Linked DNA regions of Struthio camelus. The protein of the gene in region 3 interacts with the protein of the main gene of each other region in a biochemical or structural test. Links are inferred from orthologs where the notes say so. Each region holds a gene or a part of one and is shown on either strand. Other genes may lie near its edges. The genes, in order: MFN1, PINK1, PRKN and PICK1.

What was found.
Region 1: of the proteins of PRKN (region 3) and MFN1, one has a biochemical effect on the other in vitro, tested with the Homo sapiens proteins (3 studies listed by BioGRID). The link is inferred for Struthio camelus from reciprocal best matches to the Homo sapiens genes PRKN and MFN1.
Region 2: of the proteins of PRKN (region 3) and PINK1, one has a biochemical effect on the other in vitro, tested with the Homo sapiens proteins (12 studies listed by BioGRID, with this or other methods). The link is inferred for Struthio camelus from reciprocal best matches to the Homo sapiens genes PRKN and PINK1.
Region 4: the proteins of PRKN (region 3) and PICK1 form a complex in vitro, tested with the Homo sapiens proteins (3 studies listed by BioGRID and IntAct, with this or other methods). The link is inferred for Struthio camelus from reciprocal best matches to the Homo sapiens genes PRKN and PICK1.

The regions. Positions count from the first base shown.
Region 1 is NC_090950.1:24,791,847-24,798,926, reverse strand, and holds the start of MFN1 (mitofusin-1), read left to right. Parts: upstream 1-4,065; 5' UTR 4,066-4,092; coding exon 4,093-4,115; exon of another isoform or gene 4,116-4,440; intron 4,441-5,191; coding exon 5,192-5,313; intron 5,314-5,947; coding exon 5,948-6,083; intron 6,084-6,447; exon of another isoform or gene 6,448-6,551; intron 6,552-7,080. Other genes in the region: ZNF639 (zinc finger protein 639), read left to right, coding at 1-123. UniProt on the Homo sapiens protein: Mitochondrial outer membrane GTPase that mediates mitochondrial clustering and fusion. Membrane clustering requires GTPase activity. It may involve a major rearrangement of the coiled coil domains.
Region 2 is NC_090962.1:12,708,680-12,715,869, forward strand, and holds the start of PINK1 (serine/threonine-protein kinase PINK1, mitochondrial), read right to left. Parts: upstream 3,012-7,190; 5' UTR 2,977-3,011; coding exon 2,698-2,976; intron 1-2,697. Other genes in the region: CDA (cytidine deaminase), read right to left, coding at 3,679-3,865, 4,037-4,148, 4,289-4,436. UniProt on the Homo sapiens protein: Serine/threonine-protein kinase which acts as a sensor of mitochondrial damage and protects against mitochondrial dysfunction during cellular stress.
Region 3 is NC_090944.1:86,490,907-86,498,313, forward strand, and holds the start of PRKN (E3 ubiquitin-protein ligase parkin), read right to left. Parts: upstream 3,013-7,407; 5' UTR 2,949-3,012; coding exon 2,942-2,948; intron 2,548-2,941; exon of another isoform or gene 2,096-2,547; intron 1-2,095. Other genes in the region: PACRG (parkin coregulated gene protein), read left to right, coding at 3,742-3,888. UniProt on the Homo sapiens protein: Functions within a multiprotein E3 ubiquitin ligase complex, catalyzing the covalent attachment of ubiquitin moieties onto substrate proteins. Substrates include SYT11 and VDAC1.
Region 4 is NC_090942.1:58,521,737-58,528,949, forward strand, and holds the start of PICK1 (PRKCA-binding protein), read right to left. Parts: upstream 3,010-7,213; 5' UTR 2,877-3,009; intron 2,729-2,876; exon of another isoform or gene 2,487-2,728; intron 1,800-2,486; 5' UTR 1,747-1,799; coding exon 1,706-1,746; intron 937-1,705; coding exon 825-936; intron 323-824; coding exon 194-322; intron 69-193; coding exon 2-68; intron 1-1. UniProt on the Homo sapiens protein: Probable adapter protein that bind to and organize the subcellular localization of a variety of membrane proteins containing some PDZ recognition sequence.

The DNA.
Region 1 (7,080 bases), on a different chromosome or scaffold from region 3:
CTTAAAACTCATTTGGATTTTAGGCATTCAGCCGATTTACCTCATAAATGTACCGATTGCTTAATGAGGTTTGGAAATGAAAAAGATCTTTTAAGTCACCTTCAGGTACATGAGACAGCTTAATTAACATTCTTTCCCTGTAATCGATTCGTTAGAATGGGAATTCTTTCCAGTCAGTCACTAAAATGTGAAGTTAAATACAATTTAACAGCGATTGTACAGTGGAAAATACTCACGCTTGCTCTTTGTATCAACAGAACACGTATGACAACTTGGCGTTGTGAATTTTCTTACTTGGGGGTTTCCGTAGGAATAATCGCATTTAGAGTGTGATGGATCAGATGCTGGGGGGAGGGACAGTGGGAGTAGTTGCCTGTTGTAATAGCTGTTCTGAAGGTCATCCTGTATTTTCATGTTTAATATTAAAGAGCTGCTTTCTTAAGAGTTTTAAAAAGAGACAAAGAGAAAGCCAACAGCTAGTTTCACGCTTAAGTAACTGTGCTTGCCATAGCGTTCACTTGCACACCGAACTCATGTTACCCTCTGCAGCAGCAGGTCAGCGTGCTTATGTCTAGCAAATTGCACTGGCCGGCCGAAGATAAGCGTAAAAATTCCCAGGCACGCAGTCTCTAAAATCATATGTTAGCCTGCATTTCCCACCCCCTGCTTTTGATAAGCTTTCAAAATTGACCTGTTTCCTTGGAGTACCTGTCCTACGTCGTGGTTTTGCTTCCTGTCTTTCTCTGTGCAGTGTTTAATTTCGACATCTGTCTGTGGAACCGCCCAGCAATACCTTCTAGTGCTTCATCAACTCCCACACGTTTACAACAGACTTCCCCTATTGTTTTTGTCTCCTTCGTTTACCTTCAGCCCTTATCTTTCTTTTGATACGTTAATGAGATGTGTGGCCTGCCTGTAGGTCGGGTCAGGTTTTAAGGCGCCATTGTAAGGGAATTTGCCAAGTGATCCAGCTGAGAATGTACGAAAAGCATGGTCTTTGCATGTAAAATCGTAATTGAGCTCTCGCTAAAAGGGTGTATGTCAGCAACCTCATTTAGAGCAAGGCTCTATTTGTTTATACTATTATAATTCGGTTACTTTGTGATTAGCTTTCTGCCGCTGGTAGTTGGAGGACAGGTATTTTAATTCTGTAAATTTTAAACTTATCCTATGTACTGGTTTAAAGCCCCGGCACAGTACATAAATTCTGTTAACTTTAATCATTTTCAAATGATTTTGCACATCACATTCAATAGTACTGTCTTTATATTATAATCTTTAAAAGTGAATTTTTAAGCTTCATCCTGTAGCTGTATTTCTGAGTGACTGATGCTTGGGCTGATAGTAAGGATGAGATCATTTAGATTGTGGTAGTTATTGGGGTGAAATTACCCCTATGTAAGTGGTGGAATTTCAATGTCTTTCTGTATTGACTGTAAACTTGTATGGAAGATTGTCTAATGCAAGCTTTGTATAAATCATGTATAAAACATTTCTTGAACAAGGAGATTTGGTGTTAGTAGCAGCAAGGTGTGTAAGGGTCTTTGCACTGGATTTTTAAAGGTAGGGATAAAAATTGGCTAAATTCAGTCAGCTTATGGAAGTTTAGTTTCTCGAGAAGTGTTTCTGCAGTCTAACATGAGCCAGTTAGCGTATGTTGCTTTGCAGGAGGCAAGACCATTTTCATCATTTGGAAATGCTGGTTTGCTACTGAATCTTCTGTGTAGTCATTGAAAAGAACAACCTGATCCCACAATGATTGTATTTTATTAATCCATTTATAGACAGTGACAGTGTCTGTAGAATTGCTAGCTTCCTATTTTGAACACGTCTATCCTGGCTGGCTTGCTATGGTAGCAATAACCTAGTTAACAAAGTAATAATAAGAACTAATTTGGATATGGAAAGTTAATTTTGCTCATCTTGGTATAATTGAGGAGGGGCGAATGCCAGTCCTCCTCTTACAAGCAGCTCCTGGTGACACACAGGTGGAACGGCACTGATGAACACTGGAGAGCAAGCCACTTTTTTTCGGAGACTGACACTAAGAAGGGGCCGCACTGTGGAAGGCACAAGAGAACACTGGGCTTTAGCGTGTCCCATCCAGGAAAGGGAGTTTTGTAGGCGCCGTGGAGCGCTGTGATGCGGAAAAGTTCCTTGACTCCTGAATAGCTTCGTGCCTCTAATTGTTGACTTACGTCCGTTTCTAATCTGTGAAATGGGAATTAAAAGAATACGTCATAGGAATGTTGTGAAGACCACTTGTTCCTAACAAAAAACCACCACGGTGTCTAATTAGCAAATATATGAAATTGAAATTTGTCTTAGGTTGAATTTTATAAATAAGAGAACAGTTTTTTTTTCTTTTAATATCTGCAGAAGGTAAATGGGAGTTTACATGAGCAGGTGGCCTCATTTTACCTTAGCAAGAACATAAATAGGATATTTGCTTCCAAATGCATGTTAAACATGACAGTGTGTGTAGTAGAAAAAACAAGTAATAAGAGTTAAGTCTGTCTAGAAGTTGGGAGGCCAAGAGGAACGGTTGTACATGTCAAGGACTATCTGTTGCTCCCCGCTGAAGGAGTTTACAAGGTAAAGGCTGTGAATTAAAGAGGAGAGGTTTGGTTTATTTACAGGAAATGCGTTAAGTGAAAGGACAGTGTTCTGAGGTGTCTGCATTAAGGTGAATTAAGACGACTTGAATGCTGCTGGTCTGATAACTGCCAGAGACTTGCATTGTCTTTATTCTTACAGCTTGAGCAATTCTCCTTGGTCTTGAATTAGAGAAATTACCTGTGGTAGTCAGAAGGGAATTATGCCCATATATTTTTTTTTTTCTCTGAGATGGTAAATAAGTGGGTCAAATTGAGTGTCTTGCTCCAGTGAAACCCGCAAGGTGCAGCTATCTGAGTAGCAGCATTCTACCTGGAAGCTTTACAGAATCACAAGACTGGCTTCAGAAATAACTTGTATTTGGTTCTTTGTCCTCAGGCTTTTGAGCCTTTAGGTTAACTGTTGTGTATTTTAGCTTCCTGGATCATGTTTGTTATTAAACAAGAGAACTTTTTATACGAAAAATTCTGCTGACTTGAAAACAAAATGAAAAACCAACGAATTATTGCAGGAACTTAGGATACAGTGCATTAGTAATTCTAAAATGATGTGTTCTCCATAATGCTTATTAAGTGCTGTAGACTTTCATGGTTTTCTGTGGTTCTCATTTTCCTGTGCTCTTTCGTGGTGATGTATCCAATATATAAATTATCAGTGCTTTTGAACTCTATAAAGTATTTTAGCGTTTGTCGTTTTAGTTAACAGCTGACTGATTAAACTGTGGTGCTGACAGTATTCAGGAATCCAAAGTCATGGTTCATGTTTTTAGATGTTTGTGACAACTTTCAAGGGCTTGGAAGCTGAGTGTTTACAATCTTAGATATGAACTGGGAGGAGCAGAAAGCTTATGAGCTGCTTATGAGCAGCGCAGGACACCGTTAGGTATAAAAGACTTTCAGTTCATTGAAGCTACGGTTTTATGTTGTGTTTTGCATCACGCAGCGCCTTGTAACAGCTGTGTCGGTCTACTTCTGGCTTTTCCAAACAGTTGCTTGGTACTTCAAGCAGCTTCTCCTCTTCCAAATGTTTGTTAATTAAAACAACAGTGTTAGCCCTACCTACTTCGGATTGCACCTAAATAAACAGCACGTCCATGAAGTGAAGCTGCCATCCCGGTAGACAAACGGCCAGGCAGCAGCCAGCGTCGGGGGTGCTCTGACAGAAAGGGCCGAGCCTCCCCATGGGCGGGAAGGGTAGAGAGCTTAAGATGGTCTCATCTCTTCACACGGTCCCGCTTGTAATTTCTGAAGGGGTGAGGAAGTCCTAGAGCTAGGCTGAAGGCGAAGGGAGGGCGTGCACTGCAGCCCGCCCGGCCGGGCTCCCCGCGCGGCAGCCTGCACCGCCACAGGCGAGCCCCCGCCTCCATTTCACAAGCACCGCGACGCCGCCGCTGCCCGCGCCCAAGATGGCGGCTCCCTCTCCCTTACGCACTTCCGGCCCGCGGTGAAAGCGACGGCTTCTGCGCTCCCGCCCAAAATGGCGGCGGAGCCGGGAGGAGGGTGAGCAGGAGACGGAAGCGGAAGCGCCGCCCGCCCGCCCGTCCCGTCGCGTCCCGTCCCGTCCCGTCCCGTCCCGTCGCGTCCCCTCCCGGCGGCGGGCAGCGGCAGCAGGAGGGAGCGGCGGCGGCCGTTGCCGGGTGACGGAGGCGCGCGCGCGCGGGGCCAGCGGGTCGCTCCGTAAGTGAGGTGCCGCCGCGCGTCCCGGCCTGGCGACCGCTGCGACACCGTCCCGCCGGTCCGGCCTGCCCTCGGCGAGCGGAGCCGCTGGCCGGGCCGGGCCTTTCCCGTGCGCTGCGCGAGGGGAGCCCGTGACCTGCGCGACGGTGTGAGGCAGCTGGCCGGGTTTTAGCAAGGGAAGGGGGGGGAAGAAAGGCTGTTGGGTTTGGAAAGGAAAACTAGAGGGTACAAAGTCTGTCGTGAGCCGCCACAGGAGTGTCTGAACGCGGCGGGGAAGGTTCTTAAAATATATATATATATATATATATATATGCTAAAAAGAGCTTTGCGGAGTGGCACGGCAGCTCGCCCTTGCCCGGCGGCGGCGGCGCCCCGAGGAGAGGCCGTTGGAGCGGGCGCGCGGCGGCGGGGGCAGACGCGTGTTGGGCTGGAAAAGGCAAAAAAGCCGCCGGCGCGGGTGTGTGGTGCCGGCACCCGGCTGGAAACTGGGGCGAAACGTTGCTCCTTAGGTAGAGTTCCAGCTGGGTAGTTTTCTAGGTGAGCTCGTGTTTGAAGATTGGCTGCAACTAACCCGGGGATTTGAAGTGCTGTGGCCGATGTTTTAAATGTTAAAGTTTATACCAGCAGGCGAAGTAGGGTGTTCTTGGTGTTGTGAGAAACCAGAGAGGAAAACTTAGTCTTCGTAGACTTGTTTTTTGTAAACCCCCCCCCCCACCGCCCCCGCCGTGACTAGGGAAAAGTAAGAGTTTGTCAGGATAATAAAATTAGTGTAAATTAACTTTTATTAGCGTTCATTGTACTTATTTTCTTAAACGTTTACTGTGTGAGACCTTGCATGACTTTTCGCTTTTGTTGGTGTCCTGAGTGTTGCAGTGACTTTTATGTAACTTTCCCGACAGTTGCACAATGGCAGAACCTGCTGTGTCTCCACTGAAACACTTTGTGCTGGCTAAAAAGACCATTACTGCTATCTTTGACCAGCTGTTGGACTATGTCACTGAAGGAGCAACTTTTGTCGAAGGTTAGTTTTCCTCTTAAACCCAAGGGCCTTGTCTGTTGCTTTGAATTCGCTTTCTGGTAGCACAGCGTGCATAATGATACACGTTAATATGCCGTACGTGTCAGCTTATTCCAGAAAAGTTGCGTTTTTTTCCTCTGAGTTGGATGCTTTCAACTTGGGCAAGCTGGAACGCTTAGGCTGGTTACATATACGAGAGGCTGGGGAATTATTTGGGCTGGTAGCCTAGCCTCCTTGCAGCGAGGGTGAAGGCTTGACCGCAGTCAGTGTTAGCAGTCGTGCAGTTTCTTCTGCACAGACAAGGGACCAGACAGGTTCTCCCAAAATTCAGTACAAAAGTCAGTCAGCTTGTCAGAGCACAACGGAGCACTGGTTACACCCTCAGAAGTGTTAGTAGTGCGGAGGAGCATGTGTTGCCAAGCCAACTTGGCTGCTCATCCCGCAGGTTAATCCTGACAGGAGGAGAGAGCCTAGCCCTGATGTGTTTTTTTTGTTTGGTTCAGTTTGTTTACAGTTGTATAATTAAAATTTAGACAGCTCTATGTTGGCACGTGAAGTACTGATAATCTGTGTCTTGTATCCTGCAGCATGTACTCTGTATGTGATTGCTTTTGTGCTATTCTTTTTGTATGTCTAGGAACATACAGGAACCCAGAGCTTGAACATGTAGCAACAGAAGATGAACTATCAAAGATACAGGCATATAAGGATAAGCTAGCAGTCATTGGTGAGGTGCTTTCACGGAGACACATGAAAGTGGCATTTTTTGGCAGGTAATGGATAAAATTATCAGAGCTTTTTTTTTTTTTTTTTTTTATTCCTTTTTCCCCTCATGCAGGACTTAGTGACCGTATTTTCTAAGTTTTATGCCCTGGCTTTAGTGTTTCCTCAAAAAATTATTGTTTAAAACATTATATATTAAAACATGTTATTTTGCTAATTGGTGCTAAATCTTTCTTTGATGCCATCTTGCTCCAACACTGTAGCTTAATTACGTACATCTTGTTACGTGTTTGTCATTGATAAACTATATAAAATAATTATTCTGCGTAGATCTGCGATTTGATTGAGGAGGGTCTAAGATTGTTGTTTTCTTCTCCAGAATGTTTATTTTAACTTGATGGTTTTGTTTGTTTTAGTATCTTTGTTTTGCTGGACTGTTGTTTATAAGAACTGTGGTTGGTGTTTGATCACAAGCAACTGTGGAAGAACTACTCTTTGGGCTGCTTTTGTTTCCACGTGTAAGCAACTGATAACAAAGTTAGAGAAACTTGCCTTGTTAATCATTAGTTTGCTATATCCCTGTGATGATTATTAGGGATGACGTATATATTACTGGCGTACACGTAAATCTGAATGAAGTTATGAAGCTATGAAGTTAGGCTCTTCTGTATCACTGACTGGGAGAAGTTCTAGTTCAGACCTTGGTACTGTTACCGCAGACTATTGCATCTTTTACATGTTTAAGTAACACTTCCAAAGTTTTGAGCGTTTTAAATTCCCTTCTGTTCCAAAAAAGATATTTTAAGAATTAGAAAGTTTTTAACTGAGGTTAGCTTTGGATCATCTAATCTTTAATTTTTTTATTTATGTATCAGGCAAATGGAGTTAAAAAGTAAGGTGTTTGTTGCACCCAAAAAATATGTTGTTACATAAAAAATTAAAATATTTTAAAGAAGTGCTGCTGGCTACTTAGACCCAAAGCAGTAAGGTTCTATGTCTCTTTGGTTGTAGCCGTGTTGTGCTTTATTTTTCAGTCTGATCTTTATG
Region 2 (7,190 bases), on a different chromosome or scaffold from region 3:
ACACCCCCGGACCCCCTTCACACTGTACCCCCGGCAGGGGACACCCCCGGAACCTCCTTGGGCTGTACCCAGGACAGGGGACACCCCTGGACCCCCTTCACACTGTACCCCCGGCAGGGGACACCCCCAGAACCTCCTTGGGCTGTACCCAGGACAGGGCACACCCTCGAGCCCCCCTCCTCGGGCTGTACCCAGGACAGGGGACACCCCCGGACCCCCTTCACACTGTACCCCCGGCAGGGGACACCCCCGGAACCTCCTCGGGCTGTACCCAGGACAGGGGACACCCTCGAGCCCCCCTCCTCGGGCTGTACCCAGGACAGGGGACACCCCCGGACCCCCTTCACACTGTACCCCTGGCAGGGGACACCCCCGGGCTCCCCCGGGGCTGTACCCAGGACAGGGGACACCCCTGGACCCCCTTCACACTGTACCCCCGGCAGGGGACACCCCCAGAACCTCCTTGGGCTGTACCCAGGACAGGGCACACCCTCGAGCCCCCCTCCTCGGGCTGTACCCAGGACAGGGGACACCCCTGGACCCCCTTCACACTGTACCCCCGGCAGGGGTCACCCCCGGAACGTCCTTGGGCTGTACCCAGGACAGGGCACACCCTCGAGCCCCCCTCCTCGGGCTGTACCCAGGACAGGGGACACCCCCGAACCCCCTTCACACTGTACCCCCGGCAGGGGACACCCCCGGAACCTCCTCAGGCTGTACCCAGGACAGGGCACACCCTCGAGCCCCCCTCCTCGGGCTGTACCCAGGACAGGGGACACCCCCGAACCCCCTTCACACTGTACCCCCGGCAGGGGACACCCCCGGAACCTCCTCAGGCTGTACCCAGGACAGGGCACACCCTCGAGCCCCCCTCCTCGGGCTGTACCCAGGACAGGGGACACCCCCGGACCCCCTTCACACTGTACCCCCGGCAGGGGACACCCCCGGAACCTCCTCGGGCTGTACCCAGGACAGGGCACACCCTCGAGCCCCCCTCCTCGGGCTGTACCCAGGACAGGGGACACCCCCGGACCCCCTTCACACTGTACCCCCGGCAGGGGACACCCCCCAGGGCCTCCTCGGGCTGTACCCAGGACAGGGCACACCCTCGAGCCCCCCTCCTCGGGCTGTACCCAGGACAGGGGACACCCCCGGACCCCCTTCACACTGTACCCCCGGCAGGGGACACCCCCGGAACCTCCTCGGGCTGTACCCAGGACAGGGCACACCCTCGAGCCCCCCTCCTCGGGCTGTACCCAGGACAGGGGACACCCCCGGACCCCCTTCACACTGTACCCCCGGCAGGGGACACCCCCGGAACCTCCTCGGGCTGTACCCAGGACAGGGGACACCCCTGGACCCCCTTCACACTGTACCCCCGGCAGGGGACACCCCCAGAACCTCCTTGGGCTGTACCCAGGACAGGGCACACCCTCGAGCCCCCCTCCTCGGGCTGTACCCAGGACAGGGGACACCCCTGGACCCCCTTGGGCTGTACCCAGGACAGGGGACACCCCCAGGTCCTCCTCGGGCTATACCAATGGCAGGGGACACCCCTGGGACCTCCTTGGGCTGAGCTCACAGCAGGAGACACCCCCAGGGCCTCCCTTGGTCTGTGCCCACGGCAGGGGACACCCCCGGGCTCCCCCGGGGCTGTACCCAGGGCAGGGGACACCCCCGAGGCACCCCTCAGGCTGTACCTGCAACAGGGGACACCCCCGGGCCCTCCTCGGGCTGTACCCAGGGCAGGGGACACCCCCGGACCCCCCTCACACTGTACCCACGGCAGAAGACACCCCCAGGGCACTCCTCAGGCTGTACCCAGGACAGAGGACACCCCCGGGCCCCCCTCGGGCTGTACCTGCCACAGGGGACATCCCCCAGGCCCCCCTCGGGATGTACCCAGGGCAGGGGACACCCCCCGGGACCTTCCTCGGGCTCTGCTCACAGCAGGGGACATCCCCCAGGCCCCCCTCGGGCTGTACCCAGGGCAGGGGACACCCCCGGGACCTTCCTTGGGCTGTGCTCACAGCAGGAGACGCCCCACCCCGGGCCCTCTCAGGCTCCACCAACGGCAGGGGACACCTCCGGGGCCCTCCTCGGGCTGTACCCAGGACAGGGGACACCCCCGGGCTGTACCCAGGACAGGGGACACCTCTGGGCCCTCCTCAGGCTGTACCCAGGACAGCGGACATCCCCCGGCCCTCCTCAGGCTGTATCTTCGGCAGGGGACACCCTCCCTCAGGCCTTCCTCGGGCTGTACCCAGGACAGGGGACACCCCTCGGGACCCTCCTCGGGCTGTACCTAGGACAGGGGACACCCCTCGGGACCCTCCTCGGGCTGTAGCAGGACAGAGGACACCCCCGGGCCCCTCTCGGGCTGTACCCAGGACAGGGGACACCCCCGGGCTGTACCCAGGACAGGGGACACCTCTGGGCCCTCCTCGGGCTGTATCTTCGGCAGGGGACACCCCCCCTCAGGCCCTCCTCGGGCTGTACCCAGGACAGGGGACACCCCTCGGGACCCTCCTCGGGCTGTAGCAGGAGAGAGGACACCCCCGGGACCCTCCTCGGGCTGTACTCTCGGCAGGGGACCCCCCCCGGGCCCCTCTCGGGCTGTACCTACGGCAGGGGACCACCCCCCCCCCCACCTCGGGGGCCGGCAGGGGTGCCAGGACGGGCCGGGCCGCACCGCACCTGGATGCGGCGGCACGCCGCCTCGGCCCGTCGCTGCTCCTCCAGGCGCGGCTCCAGCAGGGCCAGCGCCAGCGCCAGCGCCAGGCTGCGGCCTCCCCCCCCCGCCGCGCCGCCGACCCGCCGCGCCAGCCCGGCCGCCGCCCCGCCGAGGAGCCAGGACCCCCGCGGAGGGCGGCAGGAGGAGGAGGAGGAGGAGGAAGGCGGCGGGCGGGCGGCGCGGGGCAGCCGCCAGCGCGGCAGCAGCCGCAGGGCGCGGGCCAGCATCAGCCGCAGCGCCATGGCGGCGCCCAACGGCTCTAACGGCTCCAACCGCCGCCGCCGCGCGCGCTGACGTCACCCCGCGCGCGCCGCCCCCTCCCGCGCGCGCGCTGACGTCACCCCGCGCGCCCCCGCCGGGCGACGGTTACACCCTTAACACCGCCCCCCCCCTCCCCTTTTATTCGGTTTTTTCGGGTTTTTTCCGGGTTTTTTCCCCCCCCCACCACCACCGCGCGTTATTTAATCAACGGTTCTGCCGCCGAGCTGCCGTTGGCCCGGGAACGGTGACCCCCCCCCCCCCCCCCGGTTCAGGCCCCTGAGAGGAAGACGCGGAGGCCGCGGTGGGGCCGCAGGCCGCCCGCCCGGCAGCGCCGGCGGAGCGCTCCCCTTTCGCCTTCCCTCCCTCCACAACCGAAGGACCCAGCCCTTTTTTTTTTCCCCCCCGCCCCGCCGGCGTGGCGGGTTTTGTGTTATTCGGCGCGTTTTACACCTTCCGCGACACCGCGGCTGACCGGCCTCCGCCGCCTCGGCCCTCGGCTCCCGTCGCGTTACCCGCAGGCGCCCTTCGGCCTCCCGCCCCCTCCCCAAAATCACAGCTTCCTCAGGTCCTCCGGCCCGAAGGAGAGCGGCAAAAGCTCCTCCAGGCTCTTGACGACGTAGGTGCCGTCGGGTTTGGTGAGGTACACGTCCCAGTCCCGGCCGAACTGCGGGGCGAGAAGAGGATCAACGGGCGCCCGGCGCCGCGGGAATCCCGCCAAGAGTCTTCCCGCGGGCCGGCGTGTGGGGGGTGGGGGGGGACACCGGGAAGGGCCGAGCCGGGGAGCGAAGAGGGGGGAGAAAAAAGCCCTTTACCTCCCGCATGACTTGTCTGCAGGCGCCGCAGGGCACGATGAAGTCGCCCTCGAGGTCGCTGCCGGAGAAGAGGAGGCAAAGCTGAGGGCGGCCGGCGAACCCCCCGGGGGGGGGGGGGCGAAGGCACCTGAAGAAACGCTCTTTCGGGCAGCCCCCTCCTTGTTTGTGTCCCCCCGCCGCCACCTCCTTGCTGCCCTCGACCAGGCGAACCCGCCGCGCGGCGCCTCACCTGGCGATGGCCATGGCCTTGAAGCTGGTGTGACCCTCGGAGACGGCTTTCTGGATGGCTGTGCGCTCGGCGCACACCCCCAGGCTGTGGCAGGCGTTTTCCACATTGCAGCCTAGGGGAAGGGCGCGCGCCGTCACCCCGGGGCTGCTGCCAGCCCCCGAGAGGACGCGGACCCCCCACCCACCCACTTCGCCGTTCACCCTGGCGGATGTTTCCCGGCTGTTGGCCCAAAGCTACAGGCGGGGCGCTTACCGGAGAAGACGTGGCCGCTGGCGGTGAGGAGCGCGGCGCCCACGGGGAAGCGGCTGTAGGGGCAGTAGGCGGCCGCCTTGGCCTCCCGGCTGCGCTGCAGCAGCAGCGCCCGGAGGCGCTCGGCCTCCGGCGAGGAGCCCCGCTCCATCGCTCCGCCGGCCCTGCGGTTAAATATTTCCCCGGCGGCGTGGCCCTCGTCCTCCCCCGCCGCGGGGCCGAGCCCGGAGGACGCCCCCGCGGGCGTGGGAAACGGGGCCGAGACCGCGCGAACGCCGCCGAGACCCGGCCCTTCCGCCCCTCGTTTTCCCCCCTGCGCCGCTTATTTCCCTTTCTTTTTTCTTTTCCCCCCTCCCTCTCTTTAGGCCCCGCGTTTCTAAAGGCTCCGGCGCCGTCCCGATGGGATCGGCAGAATATTTTCCATCACTGCTTTCTTTTTTTTTTTCTCCCCGGCAGCAAAGCTGTTTTATGACTCAATGGGAAAACGTCGTAAAATGTACTCGGGAGGGAAAACACCGGTTCCTCGGCAGCGAGATAAGACGATACGGTTGAAAGCAGGGAAAAAGCAAGAGAAATCAGCTTTTCCGGGCCTTGTAATGAAGAGTTAAAATTCCACGTTGAAGATCCGGATTGAAAACGTGTTTTTGCACTGAGATTTCGGCATCTGCCTGAGGCGGGGGGGCGCGGGAAGAATATGCTGCCGCCTGCAAGGCCGATGGAAAATAGGCGATTTAAAAGCCGGGAGCTTTCTTTAGCGAAGAAATCGAAGCTGAGCCGCTGGAAGAAATGCCACAAACTCCACGCGCTCGACGCCGGCTGCGTGCTCGCCCGCTGATTTAAGCGCGGGGAAGTCCCAAGCTTTTAGGAGCTCCGGTTTTCCCTGCCTGGGATGCGGGGAGAGTCGGACAAACCACCTTCCTCATGCAACATGTTATATCACCCGCCAGAGCTTTAGGGCTGCCAAGGCGCAGCGCGGGAGCGAATTGCCGGTGCAGGGGGTAAAGTGCGATTGCAGGGGGTAAAGTGCAGCTGCAGGGGATAAATTGCAGCTGCGAAGGGCAAATTGCAGCTGCGGGGGGAATATTGCAGCTGCAGGGGATGTATCGCGGTTGCAGGGGGCATATTGCAGTCGAGAGGGGTAAACTGCGGCCGCTGCGGGGAGCGACCCCCAACGCCGGGGCCGGCAGCTCTCGCTCCAGTTCGGCGCTGCTCGGTGCCCTCGCAGCTCCAGAAAGCCTGTTTGTGAGGGAAATAATCGGCTCAGAGGAGCAGGGCAGGAAAACGAGGGAGGAAGCAAACGCCAGGTCCCCGGAGAAGCCGAGCCGGCAGCGATCCCCGACGCTCGCCGCATTGACAGCGGGACCTGAATAACGCAGGAGCTATAAATAACCGGGCTGACAAACACCCCCAAACCCCCAAATCTGCATTCTTGCCCTAGAAATCCTGTCCCTGAAACCATCCTTTACGCTGAGAGCCGGGAAGCAAAGCAGCACAGAGCAAACCGCGTCCTTTGCTGGAAAACAAAACCAAAACACAACCGAATAAAGAGATCGAAAGAAAGGCTTGCATCTTTTATTATTTTGGTTGCCAGTGCTGCGGAGCTGCGCTGCACCAGCGCCGGCTCGAGGTCGTCGGAGAGAGGAGGGGTTGTCCGCCGCCGTCGGGTTTGCAGCACGCGCAGCGGCGTGGAGCGCCGGGGCGAAGAACCGCCGAGGAGGGGCGCGTTCGCTGCGCCGACGGGGGTCTCCCTGGGCGGCTCGGCGGCGGAGCCGACGCCGGAGCAAGCCTCGGATTCGGCAGGAGGCTAAAAGCTAAAATTTCCACCCAAGAGGGGCATCCTTGAAGGCCTGCAAATATGGCAAAAAAAAACAAAAAAAAACGGGGGTGGGGGGGAACTGAGTGAAAACCACCTGCGAGAAGGCAGCAGCGTTTGCAAGCCGGGCCGACGCGAGCGCCGCCGGGGGCGGCCGGCAGCAAACGCCTCGAGGAGCGCCCCGATTTGAAGAGAAAGCCTCGTCGCTGGCGCTAGGGCTGTGCGGGGCGAGCAGCTGCCGTGGTCCGAGCCTTCGGGGAAAAGGGGGGGAAAAAAATCACTGCCACCTCACTCCGCCCTTAATTTCCCCTGCGGGGAGCAGGGGGGGGGGGGGCTCCGCTCGGCGGGCTTGCCGGCGTGGCTAACGTTTGCCGAGGGCTCCCCGCGCGCTGCCTGATGCCGCGTCCCGGGGAGGTGGAGCAGCCCACGGAGGGCTGAGTCCCCGCTGCCGCCGCTCACGCAGCAGGAGCGGGCAGGCGAGCGGCTGCGCCTCGCTCCGCCGCCGGCTCCTCTGCGGCAGCTCAGCGGCTCCGCATCCCCCCGCGCCGAGGCCAGCGGCATCCTGCCGCAGCATCCGCCTCCCGCCGCGCTGGGGTAGGGAGCCGGCAGCGGGGGGGCGGCACCGCCGGGGGACCCCTCCGCGGCAGGTCAGCCTCCCAAAGCGGAGCGGGGCGGAGGGGCAGCTCGGCCGCGGGAGCATCACAGCGGCGTGGGAACGGTGAGACCCACGGGAGCATCGCGGCGGTGCGGGAACAGTGAGACCCGCGGGAGCATCGCGGCGGCGTGGGAACGGTGAGACCCGCGGGAGCATCGCGGCGGTGCGGGAACGGTGAGACCCGCGGGAGCATCGCGGCGGTGTGGGAACGGTGAGACCCGCGGGAGCATCGCGGCGGTGCGGGAACGGTGAGACCCGCGGGAGCATCGCGGCGGTGTGGGAACGGTGAGACCCGCGGGAGCATCGCGGCGGTGCGGGAACGGTGAGACCCGCGGGAGCATCGCGGCGGTGCGGGAACAGTGAGACCCGTGGGAGCATCGCGGCGGTGCGGGAACGGTGAGACCCGCGGGAGCATCGCGGCGGTGCGGGAACAGTGA
Region 3 (7,407 bases):
TTTCAGTATAAACTTTAGAGAAAGAAGGATTTACAGTCATGACACTACACATTCCCATGTTATAATAGTATCTTTCTGAAGCATTTTTAAGGATTCAGTGATAGTTGGCTTGTTTCACAATATGCTGGATTTGAAAACTAGTATTCTGAAGTAAACTTTGGTTGATTATCAAGCCACTGACAATTATCTGCTGAAAAGAGTATTTAGAGCCAGTTATGTTGATACCAAAGTACCTAGTGAATTCACCTAGTGAACGCCTTTTATGCACTCAAACTTCCTTATTTCAGCACGAGTAAGCCTGCTAAGCTAGCTGAGTACGTACTTTTGAACATCTTCAGCATTACCTTAAAAAAAAATCCTGCTTTTAAATAATTATTAAATTTTTTCTAGAGGAAGAAAATGTAAAACTTCTCTATAGAAAAGTTTCCTGAAGTCCTGCACTGAACATCCCATTAGCACACAGTACAAATTGACTGCAAAGTTTAAAAATAATACATATGTAAGTGAAATGGCAGTTTTAGGAATCCTTTTTGTGACCTAAAGTGAAACACATTACAGAACAAATAATCTTTCAAAAGCTTTTATAAAAGCAAGAGACACCTTGGGCATTTACCCTGCTCATTGCTTTTAAATATGTACACATGCAAAAGAACTAAAATCTGGGTAGCACTCATGCATTCAGTGCAATTGTGTCTGCTGCCACAGACTTTCCAGATGAATTTGTCCATGGGTTTTCTACACAAATGGACTGTTATAGAATTAACTTATGCTACCATGTTCTAATGCAAATATCATATAGATTAAAAAAATACATTTTTGAAAGCCTCAAGAAATAGCCTCTTACTGAAAAATCAGTATATACAAATTAAACATTATCTTTACTTTTCAGATAAAATTTTAGCATTGCAGCTGTGGTTACTTAGAAATCTACTTATAACCAAATCTTTCTCTAACTACTTTTAGAAACTATTCCAGATATTTTAAGTATTTTGAACATTTGTAATACATCACATTTTAAATTTTCAACTAAGTGTCTACCTGAGAAAAATTCATTGCACACAGTTCTTTGTAAATCTCTGTTCACTCAACAAAAACTAATAGGACAGTAGAATGTAATACAAATGGGATAAGCAATCATCTGAAGGCTATTAAAACCCCGTTATATAAATCAGTGGTATAGCCTCTTCTGGAATGTTATGGGATACAGAAAAAACCCTTCCTCTGCAAAATATACTGAAAAATAGCATATGGGGAAAGAGTTCATAGAAGAGCCATGACCACGCTCAAACACTTGGAGAAAGACAGAATAAAAAGGTCTGGATTTTTCTACTTTGCTATTTTCTTCGCTAAATTAAGAAGATGTTGCTTTTATAGCTGCAAATCAGGTAAAGCTCCGTTTACAGATTTTAAACTAATTGGGAAGTATATTTCATAACCAGTATTCACAAATATTGTTGCCATCACAATGAAAATAAAACTGTAATACCTCAACCATATAAAAATGCTATCTTTATATGCAGTGTGAGTCATCACGTATTTGGACTTCAGTAAAAGGGCTGGAAGCATCAGTAACCACACAGGAATCCCTTATGTACACATAACTTACTGCTTTTTTTGAAAGCATTGTGTTAATTTGTTAATGCATTCAAAAATAAACAACATAGTTCTGTAAAGTCATGTATGTCATGTACTATTCCAAGACGTCCTATCAGAGGTGGACAAAGCACTGAAAGGTGGAAGACAGTGGAATACCTGATATCCTGCGGTTTCTTAAATCAAGCCTTTTATGTAAAACAGCCTCTGTTACATCAGAAAAAAATACTCCAAACAACAACTAAAAACAGTAATTAAGGTCCTAAAGCTAGAAACAGACTGTTTGCAGACCTACTCATATAGATTGAAAACATCACATATAAAACTTCTTTAAACTTTCATTTTAACTCTTATGCTTAAAGAAAACATTACCCAAATGTTCAAATTCATGTTTTGCCAAGAAAAATGTCTGGTAGAAAGAGTCATGGGATTCATGGAGCAAGTTGAAAAGATACTTTTCAGATGTTAAATTAAAGAAGCCAAATCACTTTGATCACAATTGACCGCAGGCTTTTTACCTTGATCAGGTTGTATGTAGATAGCAAATATGGCACCTACATTGAAAACGAAAGGAAATGAACAGCCTGAAGAAAGGAATTTTTAGAACACACCTACCACAACTTACAGCTTTTACTTTTAAATAATCCACACTGAAAAAGTGAAAACAAGATGGGGAGGTAGGACTACAAAACGCATCTCGTGACTTGTGGGGCTCCCCAGCACGGATACATCTTACAGGTAACAGGGGAAAACAAAACGGTGAGCACGGAAGACAACCGATTCACGTACTGCACCGACATCAGGCGGATGTAGCGCCCCACCAGAGCGGCCCAATTCCCAACCTGCATGAGGACAAAATTGCTTCTTTCCGAGCCCACTGCCCGCAACCGCGGCGCCAGAGCAACCACGTGCGAGCTGACAACCCGTGACACGGCAGAAAGCAAGGCCGAAGCGGTGGGTGAACCACGCACAGCTCGCCTAGCCGCATGGACAGAGGCGCGCGGAGGGGGAGCCGTCAGCAGTGACCTTCGCGGGAACAAGGGCAGGACGCGGCGCGGCGCGGCCCCCTCGGACCACAGGGACGCGCTGAGCCGCCGCCGCCGCCGCCCGCGGCCCTCACGTGCCGCAGCGCGGGGCCCGCGAAGCCCCGCGGCCGCCCAGGCGCCGCCCCGGCCCCCACAGCCGGCCCCGGGGCGACCCGCGGCCGCTGACAGCGGGCACCTGCCACCGGCGGACAGGCCGGCAGCGCGGACGTGCCTGCGGGGAGCCGCCGCGGCCCCGCCGGCGGCGGCCGAGAGGCGGGAGGAGCTGCATCCGGGCTCTCCCCCTCACTGAGGCGCTCACTCACCTATCATGACGGCGGCGGGCGCGGGGGCGCGAGCGCGGGGGCGCGCGCACGCGGCCGCCCCAGCGCTCGCTCCGGCCGCGGGCGCGAGCGGCGGGGCCGCCCGAGCGGCCCGCGCCGGCGCAGGGCCCTCTGGGAAGCGTAGTTCTGGCGTCTTCACGCCTCTCAGCTCGCCTCACGTCAGCGCCGCTGCTTGACACCTTGTAGTTGATACCTGTTAGTTTCCGCTGGATGGCTCCGTCCCTCGCGGGCCGCGGGGCCCTGCCCTGGGGGCCGGGGGTTTCCGTCAGCCTCGTGCTTGCCCTGCGCACGTGACGGCCGCCGGGTGGTTGAGGCGGCCGGTTGTTGACGCGTTGCCTAGCGACGGGCGCGAGTGCGGGACGCGTGCGGCCGTCGGCACCGGTTAGTGCCCCGCCCCCAACGGACCCCGGCCGAGGGGCCCTTGCGGGTGGCGCAGGGGTGAGGAGGGGCAGGCGCTGGCCGGGGGGAGGCGCCGGGCAGGCAGGCAGGGGCGAGAATTGGCCCGGGGTGGCGGGCGAGAAGGGCAGGTGGCGATGGAGGGCCAGGGAAGGAGGAGCGGGGGCTGTGGGGAAGAGGAGGGCGAGCCGGGGGTGCAGAAGGGGGCGAGCGAGGAGGCCGGGCAGGGGCAGAGAAGGAGCGGGAGGGCTAAGGGAGGGGTCGTGCCCTTGGTTGGGAGGGGGGCAGAGGCAGACGTGCTGCGTTTCTAACTCACTGGGTTGGGCTTTTCTGTTTTCAGTCTGTGTTTTGGTTCTTGTCCCTCGTGGACGCTGCTGGTAGAGGGGATGGTAGTGGAGAAGGCGGGTTCGAGCCCCCCGAAGACCGTAGGTGACAGGCGGCCCCAGCAGCAGGAGCCACTGGGGCACGTGAAGAAAAGCAAGCAGCAGGTCAGCGATGGATTCACTGTCAAAGCCATGATGAAAAACACCGTGGTATGTCTGCTGCTAGTGTAGGGGTGGTGTTAACTGATTTACTCGCACGTGCCCAGGAAGCATAGCAAACCAGAACTGGGGACAGAGACTGACAGGCAGGTGTGTGGGTTGCTAAGACTTTATTTGGAGTTTGTCAGTTGCTGGAATTACTTTCAGATTTTACAGAAGTGTTATCATAAGGTAACAGCCTGTGCCTGTGGAAATGTTGATGCTTTGCCTCAGAATACATTGCTTCAGTGTCACCGTATTTCTATATTGATTTTTATTGGCAGTGCACGTTGTATTAAAGTACTAGCATGTAGAATTGCGTGCAAGGCTTGCCACTCTGTGTTTAGCAAACTCCTGTCACGTGATACTGTAGTGTTGTATGAAAACATGTTCATCTGCTGTTGCTTTGTGGTATAAATTTGGTGTGAATGTCACACAGGATGACAGGGACCTGGAAAATATGTTTCATTTTTAAAATATGCTTGAAAAACAATAAAAGCCTTTCACACTATAGGAGACTATTCAGTTGGAAACAAATGTTGATTCTGTGATAGCTCTTAGAATGAGCAAGATAAAAATCTAGCAACCTCCTTTCATTAATTGACTGAACTTTTAATGATTTTAGAGGTATACAAGTGAAAATACTAGGTTTGGGCACTTTTGTGTTGTTCTATATTGGTTTATTTGACTGCTTCTATTAGATTTTAGGAATAAAAATAAAAGCTTCAGCTAGTTCAGAATGCAGATGTTCAGCATGACCGTGGTCAAGCTGTTATGAGCACACATCTGTACATAAAACTCCTAGATAGCTTTTTGTTTGTTTGTTTACTTCTGAGTACAATTCAAGTTGTTAGAAAAGTTTTGTCTTCTCAGGATTTTTCAGTTGTGTATATTCTTGTAATAACTGCTATGAAATACATGATTTCCTGTGTTTTGCTTGAACAGTTAACCCTGTTACAGTCTTCCTGGGCTTGTTGTTTCTAACAGCATTTTTTTTTAAAGTTTTTAAACAAACTTCAAATGGAAAGAAATTGTATAAATGAACATTCTTTTTCAGTGGTAGTAAAATTAAAGCATGCTTGACCTCAGTAGAATGAATGTAAAGCAAAAACAACCGGCGTTTTGCCTTAAAGATTGTTTGATTTGTTTGTTTTTAATTCTAGATCTATGTGGCATAGACTGTAACACTTCAGCAAGTTTAAGGATTAATTTTTAAAGACATTTCCTCTTCTCCAGACAAAATTTCACTTCACAGGAATAAGTGCAAATATGCATTCATGCATTGATACTTCAAAGGTACTTGATCTAGTCTAGAAGAATCAGCAGAGTTTCAGCAGCATTGAAGAATCTCTGTATTTCATTAAAAAAAAAGAGCTTTGGCTGATGACTATAGCTTAAGCTATCAGTTTAATCAGAATTTAAGTTTTCTTGTAAATAATTAAAGTTTTAACTTATGGCTAGGATTCTAACTTTCTAAACATTAACAGAATGTTAAACTATGTGGTACTCTGTAATCAGCAAAGGGGCAAATCTGCTGCCTCTTGGGCGGCTCATTGAATCATGGAAATGATAGTTGGCAGGGACCCCTGAAGGTCATGTAGTCCAACCTGCCTTTTAAAGTGGGGCTGTCACTGGCACTAGACCAGGTCAGCCACGCATTCGCCTTGCTGAGCCGTGAGCTCCAAGGGCAGGTTCCGTGACCTCCCTGGGCAGCCTGTTCCATTGCAGCCCTTCCCTCCTGGTGCCCTGCCAGCGGTGATGTTAACAGACATCTCACCCTTTCCACAGAGTGTGTTCATAACTCCTTGCTTAGGACCTAGTGAAACTGTTAGAGGTCCCGGAAGATTCATAATGCCGTGGCTGTTTCTTGCAAAAGGTCTGAGTGAGGCCAGGAAGCCACTGGAATTATTTTCCTGGGGTCAGTGCTCAAAAAGTTAGGGTACAGTTAGGAATAATATCTCACTGCCATTCTATATCTGTTCAGAAGTGGGAGTTCCTTTTCTCTTCTCCAGCAACTGATGAAATGGAGCTTCAGATTTCTTAAGTAGTCACTTCCCAGAGGTTGACATCATAGGTGAAGTTGTCATGGGTGGCTTAGGAATTGATTGGTGGGTTAAAGGCATAGCAAACTAATATAGTTAAGGCATAGTAATTCTTTTTGTTAACAGCCTGCCAAGGAACAGTGTTGCCAACAACATGTTCAGCATCTCCAGGTCAAACAACTAGGTATGGATTTGGTGGAAGCATACAGTGAGGCTTAAACTCTTAGCGTAGAGTCTAACAGGTTACCATTATGCCTATATGGCTGTAAATGTTGTAGTAAAGGTTCCAGAATACTGCTTGTGCAAAGAGTGTCTCACTAAATCATTTTTCATGGAAGTCACTGGATAAATTGTCTTCCCAAGTCTAACTTTGTAGCCGGTAGCCAGCCAGTAGTCAGTACAGAATTATAGGCCTCTGGCAACTCTCGCAGAATACTGAGAGGCAATCTCATCAATGTGTACAAGTATCTGAAGGGAGGGTGTCAAGAGGATGGGGCCAGACTCTTCTCCGTGGTGCACAGTGACAGGACAAGAGGCAACAGGCAGAAACTGAAACACAGGAAGTTCCAGCTGAACATGAGGAAAAACTTCTTCACTGTGAGGGTGACTGAGCACTGGACCAGGTTGCCCAGAGGGGTAGTGGAGTCTCCTTCCCTGGAGTTATTCAAAAGCCATCTGGACACACTCCTGGGTAGTGTGCTGTAGGTGACCCTCCTTAAGCAAAGGAGTTGGACTAGATGATCTCCAGAGGTCCCTTCCGACCTCAACCATTCTGTGATTCTGTGATTCTGTATTATTCAAGAGTTTTCTCAGCTTTGGCATGTTATATCTAAAATTTATTAATTTAAATACATTACTTGATAAAAGATTCACCAAGAGTATTATTCCTGAACTGAGGAATGTATTTGGTTATATATTATTTCCTTCCAAAACTGAAAATGTATTTAGCAGTGTAGATTTAGAACTAGATTCAATAAAGGTCTTCCACAGTAATAAGCTAGGTACGAATGACATTTACATCTTATTTGTTTAGTCTTCAAAGTGGAATCAAGAATGCCATGTTAGGTGCTTAGACTTCACATCTAATCCATGGGTAGAATTAGGAAAAAAACTAAAAACTTGTATGCACAGTAGAAAAATGTTTGTATGTGAATCTGGGCAGCAGGAGGATACCTCTGTTCAATTCTGAATCTCTCCAAACAGTTGGTTATTTTTTCCCAGACACCTAACAAAGCTTATTTTTGGCCTTCTGCTCCTGTCCATGAGAGAATAAGTATTAGTGCCCATCTTTTCTGTAATAATCTAGTAGTAAAAGCACTTTTGCAGAGAGAAGATTCATTTTGCTATTTAGGGAAAGGTAGGGAGGGAATTCAAGACTTTATCTCCCGCCTTTTAGAAGAATCTCTTAACTAGCAAGCTACAGAGTAGCTGAGGTAGAAAAGATGGTATAAGGAACAGTTTCCACCTATACTTCCGAAGTTCTATTACT
Region 4 (7,213 bases), on a different chromosome or scaffold from region 3:
CCAATATCCAAGGACTTGCCCTGCTTAGGGTCAGCCTGAAGCTTGTTGTAGTGAATCGTCACTTCACCCTGCAGGAAGAGCAAATCCAAAAACTGCTGTTATCGGAAGCAAGCAGCAACAGCTTCCTTTACTGAAGGACAACCACCTGTAAATTGTGACCCAGCAGCTTCAGCAGCCCCCTCCTACCTCTCACCTTTACCATCTGTATCATCTTGGCCACCTCCACCTTGGTCTTCCCTTTGACGGACTTCCCATTCACTCCTGTGATTTCATCACCAGCTGCTACTGTCCCATCTAAGGCTGCTGGCGTGTTATCAAATACCTAGCAGAGAAGAGAAAGAGCACAGGTAGCCTGGAATCAGGAGGAAGAGATAAATGAATAGAGGGCCGAAGGAAGAAACAGGGAGGGCAGCAGAAGAGACATTTCTATTCCTCTTGTTTAACTCAATTGTATTTAGTACTGTTCACGGTGAAGCTTTGTTTTTTCCTCCTCTCCTAACTCAGAGGTGGGTTGATCATCTTGTTTTCTCAGGAACTTGTAGTCTCCATGACATGTCTCCTCAAGTGCTGGATTTCTCGAAACTGAGGAAGTCACACCACTCCTCTGAATTCTAACATGCTCTCCGAGGAGAAGAATAATTTCAGAAGTCTTAGTTTAATTCTTCCATGCCTATTAGATACCAGGGTAATGAGTTCTTATTTATTTTGAAGTGAGATGTTTCACACTTTGAACAAAATCCAAAATCATAAGACTCTCCACGCCATCCATCTCTCAGGCCAGCACTTTTACCAACATGGTTTATTCTTCTTCCCTGAGCACCCACCTGGACGATATAGAGACAGGGGCAGTACTGTGCTCCTCCCCCAATGCTGATCCCGATCAGATTCTGAGAATCCTTCTTCAAGGTTACTGTCCCAGGAACAGTGGGGATACCACTAGAATGAGAGAGAGGGAATGAATAGCTGGCATGGCAAGCACAGCTGTATTTGTATGAAAGAATAATGGTATTTGAGTCAATACAAACTGAAAACATAGTGGGTACTGCACATTTGAATTAATCACATTATTTCTGCTAGAGAGTCTATCAGCACAGATCAGCAGAAAAACCTTCAGCGCTATCTTTATTGTGATTGCATGCAAGAAGAGGTGATAGAGATACCTTCATCCACTGCTAGACAGAGAGGAAATGCTTGCATGTTTTAGGGAGTACTTCATCTGATCTTTGTGCTACAGTGAGAGGAAAACATTCACAAACGAGACGTAAGACAAGTGCTCCATCTCAAATTCTCTGCTAATCTCATAAAACCTTTCACTTGCTAAGAAAATTCTAGTGTTATCCTCCTTACAGATCTAAGGATTCCAGAGTTTCTCTCTATTTCTTCCCGCTTCTTATTTCCTTTCCTCCATTATAAGTCATTTCTTCTCTAGCTGAAGTCACTATTTACTGAAGACTTGCCAGCACTGCTTTGTGATCAGAAACTCATGGTAGTTACTGTAGAGGAACAGAAATCATTCGTCTCTGTTCACCAGCACAGCAACGCCTCATCCTCAATCTCCAGAGGAAGCAAGAAATCAGGACCGCGGTCTGACTCTTTAGCCTACGTCATCAGGAGAAGGTAAATCTCTCTGTTCCCATTAGATCTTGGCTGTTAGAGCTGTGTCTACTGTTAGCAAAAAATAGTAAAAGACGAGTGAAATACTCACAGTTTATCTTCTTCAATATCATAGTCCAAGTCTGCAAACATTGTTTTGGCTAAATGGAATCTGTTGGTCTGAAACGCTGCTTATTCCAAACTGCCTGAAAAGAAAGAAAAAACCCAATAAACCAGTGATCTCAATAGATAATTGCAGAGTTAACCTGTGACCCTTGTTAACCCTTCTCTCTCTCTCTCTTTTTTTTTTTTTTATTTCAAATGGTGCTCTCCATTTCTTTCTTGTACTGAAGAGGAAAAATATTTCAAGCGTCTCTCATTCTCTGCTCTGAGTGAGAGACCAGAGAAAATCCTCAAGTTCAAACATTGCTTGTTTCAAAACCCATATACATACAGTATTTCCAATGCAGAGAACAAAATACAGTCCATTCTGGAAACTGATTCTTTACATGCTCCACCTGTCTATCACCGTAACTTCTAAAGGTATCTGTGGTTTTATCCTTTAAGTGCATTGAATATTTGTTTCTTTCTTGATTTCATAGCAAGTTTCTAACTTTGTTGATGTTCATCTCCTACCTTGGGAGGCTACGTAAAGCTTTTCCTAACTCATTTTCAGAAGAGGTCTCATTACATTTCCCGTACGCAAACCCCCCTGTGCATCTTTTTTTTTTTTTTTAATTTCAGACATGAGTTAGCAAACGTTATTTTGGTTCCGCTCATTCTCTGCTTGTACCAAACGCACAGTCACACATCGCTTATGTCCGCACCGCGCCCAAAGCCAGCGGTGACCTTTGGAGGCAGTTACAGACACATCCTCCCCACACGCCACCTACGCACGACCGCTTCGCGCACAGTTTGCCTCCGCGCTCCCGGCCATGCCCTCGCGCCTCAGACACGCTCGGCCCGACGCGGTCCGTTACCCGCCGCGCCCGCGCCCCCTCCCGCAGCCTCGCGGCCCTGCGAAACGCACGGCCACGCTCGGGGGGGGGGGGGGCGGAGGAGGGCAAAGTTAGGGCGGGGGGGTTGGGGGGCGGAAGGAGCTGCGCTTGTGGCGCTACTCGGGATTTTTGGGGAGGGGGCGGACGCTGACAGGGCCGGGGGGGAGGGGCGGAGCACGACCGCACAGCCCCTCCCCCCGCGGAGCGCGTTGCCGGGGCAACCCCAGGGGGCGCCCCCGCTGGCCCTGAGGGGAGCGCGCGGGGGGGGGGTGTCCCGTGGCTCACCGGAAGTGCCCGTCCCGCGCGCGGCCCCCGCCGCCACCTGCCGCCCGGCGCACTCCGACCGCCGACACGTCACTGCTGGGGCCAACCCGGAAGCGCCCGGAGCTCCTCCCCCCCGCCCGCCCCGCTTGGCGACGGGCGTTGCCATGGCGACAGCGCACGGCGATCGGGGGCAGCCAATCGCACGGGCGACGCGGCGGGCGCCGGCCCCGCTCCCGCCGCCATCTTGAGAGCGGCATGGTGGCGCTCCGGGGGGAAGTGGGGCGTCGCCCCCTCCCACCCCACCCCACCCCACCCCGGCCCGGCCCGGCCCAGCGCTCTGGCGCCCCCCCGTGGGCCCCCGGGCGCGCTGCAGCCCCAGGGGCGCGACCCGCCTCGGGGTGGGAGAGCCCCACAAAATGGCCGCCCCCCATGGGAACCGCGTGGTCTCCTCTGCGCAGTCTGCGTGGCTCCGGAGATCGCCACAGAGCCCAGGCGCATCCTCCCTCCCGCCCGCCCGCCCCTCCTGTGGGGCCAGCTCGGGGAGCTGGGCTGGCAGAGAGCTGCCCTTGGGGGACGTGCCCTCCAGGCTCTACCTGGAGAGGCCTTCGGGCCTCACAGGGTTACCTCAGCATGGAAGGGACCAGGAAGGGAGTGGCGTGTGGTGGTGTGGGGCCTGCAATGCCCACTCCGGTTTTAGGCTGCATCCCAGCTCTGGTTTAGATTCACTAGGTATCACAGTCGCCTCACTACAAAAACCTTGATTTATGAGCACTGAGAAAGCAGACTGTTTAGTCTCAGTAAAATAACCAAGACAGAAAGACAAGGAGTTGGTGACAGCTGAGGAAGAGGATGGAAACTACTGAGCTAAAGGGGGTGTAGGTGTTTCATGGTGTAGTACAAAACACTAACACTATGACTTTTCCTATTACAGTTAAGGTATCATGGCAAACTATCTCAGCTGTTCACTCAGCAGGGAAACCCATGAGGGGCACCCAATGTGTGCCAGCACTGAGGAAAACACAATTTTTTGTACTTCCCTCTTGGAAAAATACAGACTGCCATTGCCTATTGCAGATGATGCACACTATAAAAATATGTATATACAATGCTTGCATGTATCAAAGGAACATTTCGGAAAGATGTTTGTGAATGGGAAAGCATTCTGGACTGATTCAGATGAAAGCAGGGGTACAAAGAGCTTCCAAACTGGTTTGTACAATTGCTTTTACTGCTGACAGGCCAGTGGTGACCTATGGAAGCTGTGTTTTGAAAGCCAGTCAGCACAGCTGTATGCAAAAGTGCCACACTGTCATGTATAAAGCAGTATTGCCAAGCTTTCATGCATTTTGCTCCTCTGTGATGTGGAGGGGGTAGTTGTTAGATGTTCAAATGAGCTTTCTGCCTCCATCAAGAGAGCACTGTCACTGGGAGAATGCTTTGATTTCCCAGAAGAATATAGTCTCCTGTTGCATTATGTATCATCTCTTCCAGCCACTGCTGACTTCTGAGGAATTACCAAGCTGCCAAACCTGACTTATTGACACAGATCAAAACAATACAAGAAAATCACACTCTTTGAACAGAAAACTCCTTCCTAACCAGCCACAAGGACTGGCTGAAGACAATGAACCTCTCTTGCTGTCTTAGAGGATGGTTAGTGTTTGCAGTGTGCAGCATCATGAACCTAGGAACTACATACATCAAAACACCGACTGAAGCCTCTCACAATGATGGAGTACAAGAGCAAGAGTAGGCTGTTAAGAATCATTTTGAAGTCCTGCATCTAAAAGATGATTTATTTATGAAGGGAAGCTGAATGAGAAATGCAAGTCCTGCAGAAGGGAGCTCTCTGAAGAGAACAGACTGATATCCTGACCCTGGAAGCTGACAGGAGTTTTACATCTGTGATCTGTGAAGCCCTGGAATTGATGAGCCAGTCCTTGATCTCTACAACTGAGGAAGTCTCTGTGGCCCAGCAGTGCAATGGCCCTTTACTGTGGCCAAGGAGGATGCAGAGAAGACAGAGTCAGACTCTTTCCAGAGCTTTTGCACAGCAAAAGACAAGAGGCAATAGTCCCAAGTGGCAGCATGGACATTCTGATTAGATAAAAGGAAAAAACTTCACTATGAGGGTGGGTAAGCACTGAGATGGTGGCCCACAGCAGCTGTGGAATAGCTATCCTTTAGAGAGAGTCAATACTTGACTGGACTGATTCTGCAGTGCTATGATCCTGAGAGAAACTCTGCAACATTTGGAAACATTTTCCTTTATAATTCTATGAAATTCTTTCAGATTCTTGGATCAAAACAGCTGATCCTAATTTTCTTCCTCTTAAACACTTACTTTGAAATACATTTGCATATTTAAAAAACCTGTCCCTCCATCCTCCTCGACACGTATAACTTCACTATTGGCAACTGTTAAAGGGGGAGTTAACTATAGCATTATAATGTATTTACGATAAAGTTACATTGCAGCTTCAGCTGAACTCCAGTCCCTGGCTAGCTGGGTACTGCAAAACACATAGGAAACACTCCTTAACCCTGCAGAAGTTGACAGTTAATACAGACACGAGATTATAAAGCAAATGAGCAAAGGTCACGTGGTAATCAGCAAGCAGAGACAGGAGTAGAAGTCAGACCTGCTCTCTGTCATGCAATGGCAGGATTGCTTCATGCAATGCGTTAGGGGCCTGTTAGTCCTACACTGTCCTGTTGCTGAGTGGTCTAACCTCCCGTTTCGTGAACCTAGGCTACCCGGTCCCAGGGTGGTAGCGACCACTGGGCAGCCAGCGGTGCTTAATTTCTAAGGGGGCAGCTCCACCGTGTGGGCACTGCTGAGAATTTCTGCTGTCAGGAAGGGGGCCTAGAGTCAGACGTACTGACTCTGGGTTTGAAATGGTGGGGTATTTCTCCTATTTTCTTGCCAAGAAAAAAAAAATTTCCAAACATAGGAGAACACCTGCATAACACGAACCATTTGGTTTTGCCCAAGGGGGACTGCTCAGAGCCTTGTGCGTAGCAGGGCACCAGACTGGTTAAAAGAAATAGCAGGATCTCATTTTTTCTGGGTCCATTTTTGCTGCTAGAACTGCAAGGGAAAAGAACAGGCAGTGAATTTCTCATTTCCCATCAGCTCCTGCTGTTAGAAAAAAAGACGAGAGGCAGAACTGGCCTGGGGTAAAAAAACAGACCTGCTGACACTGACAGGACCAAAATCTGTAGGTAGGTCTTGTGTGTCCTGCTTTTGTGCTGTTCCACTGATGTGTGCATATGCAGCCCAGTATGTCATGGAAGCAAGAGCCTATGCATGCATGCACTGACTGACCCTGCCCTATGTGCACAGTAAGCCTTGATTTGTCCAGGATCAATTGGACTCTCTGTACATGAGATGGAGAATTAAGCTACATGTGCCCTAAAGTCATGTCTGTCCCATCATTAGAAATCCAGGAAATCACCATCTCCATAGAGAAAGGGTGATGAATTATTGCCGGAAGTGGTAATCTCAAATCCGAAAAAAAAAAAAAAAAGCCTGGCTGGCCTGTAAAAACTCCCAGGAAGCTATTTGTTCTCAAGAGTAGGTCTGACTGATTATCACATCACAAATATGAAATGCAGCTGTACCCTGAAAAGTGGGCTTCATTCCTACTGTTTACCTGTACTGCTTAGATCAAGAAGGCTCTGTCTGCAAATACATTTTCCCACCCTTAAGCAGACAACCCAGCAAACTCAGCCCAGGCTCTGAGAGTCGAGCTCTCTTCTGCTTGTCTTTCATCATGTGTAATAAGGAGTCTGCAAGCAAATCACACGTTGCATGACTAGTCAGCTTCTTGGCACTCGGATGTATTTCTCTGTACTTGGTCTGTGCTGAATCTCATGTTTCTGGCTGCTTTTCTGCTACTGTTGTCAGCTTAGAGTCGACATGACTAAAACTGAGCTAACACCCTCCTCAATTGTTGTCCCTCAGGCTGTGTTTTCTGTTTTGGAGGAAATCGTCAATAGGTAACTGATTCTGTGGGAATTATATTCCCCTTCTCTGGCCCTGCCCTGCCCACCACTCCACAGGGCCCGCCCCATCTCTGCCCCACTTCTGCTGGATGCTCCAGACCTTTGCAGATGCCTCTACATGGTGCAGGTGTGAAGGAGATGTTGGCTCCACTGAGGTGGAATAAGGGATAGTCATTCATAAGGCTTATTTTTTGTGTACTGAGGTGAGCGTATGCTATTATCACACACACCCTGGGCTACCAACTCAGAGAGGAAGGGGTAAGAAACACATTGAAAACATGTCTACAAATGACCTAACTGCTTATTATTTTATCACTGTCATATTCAAACTCTCAAGACCTCCTGGGATG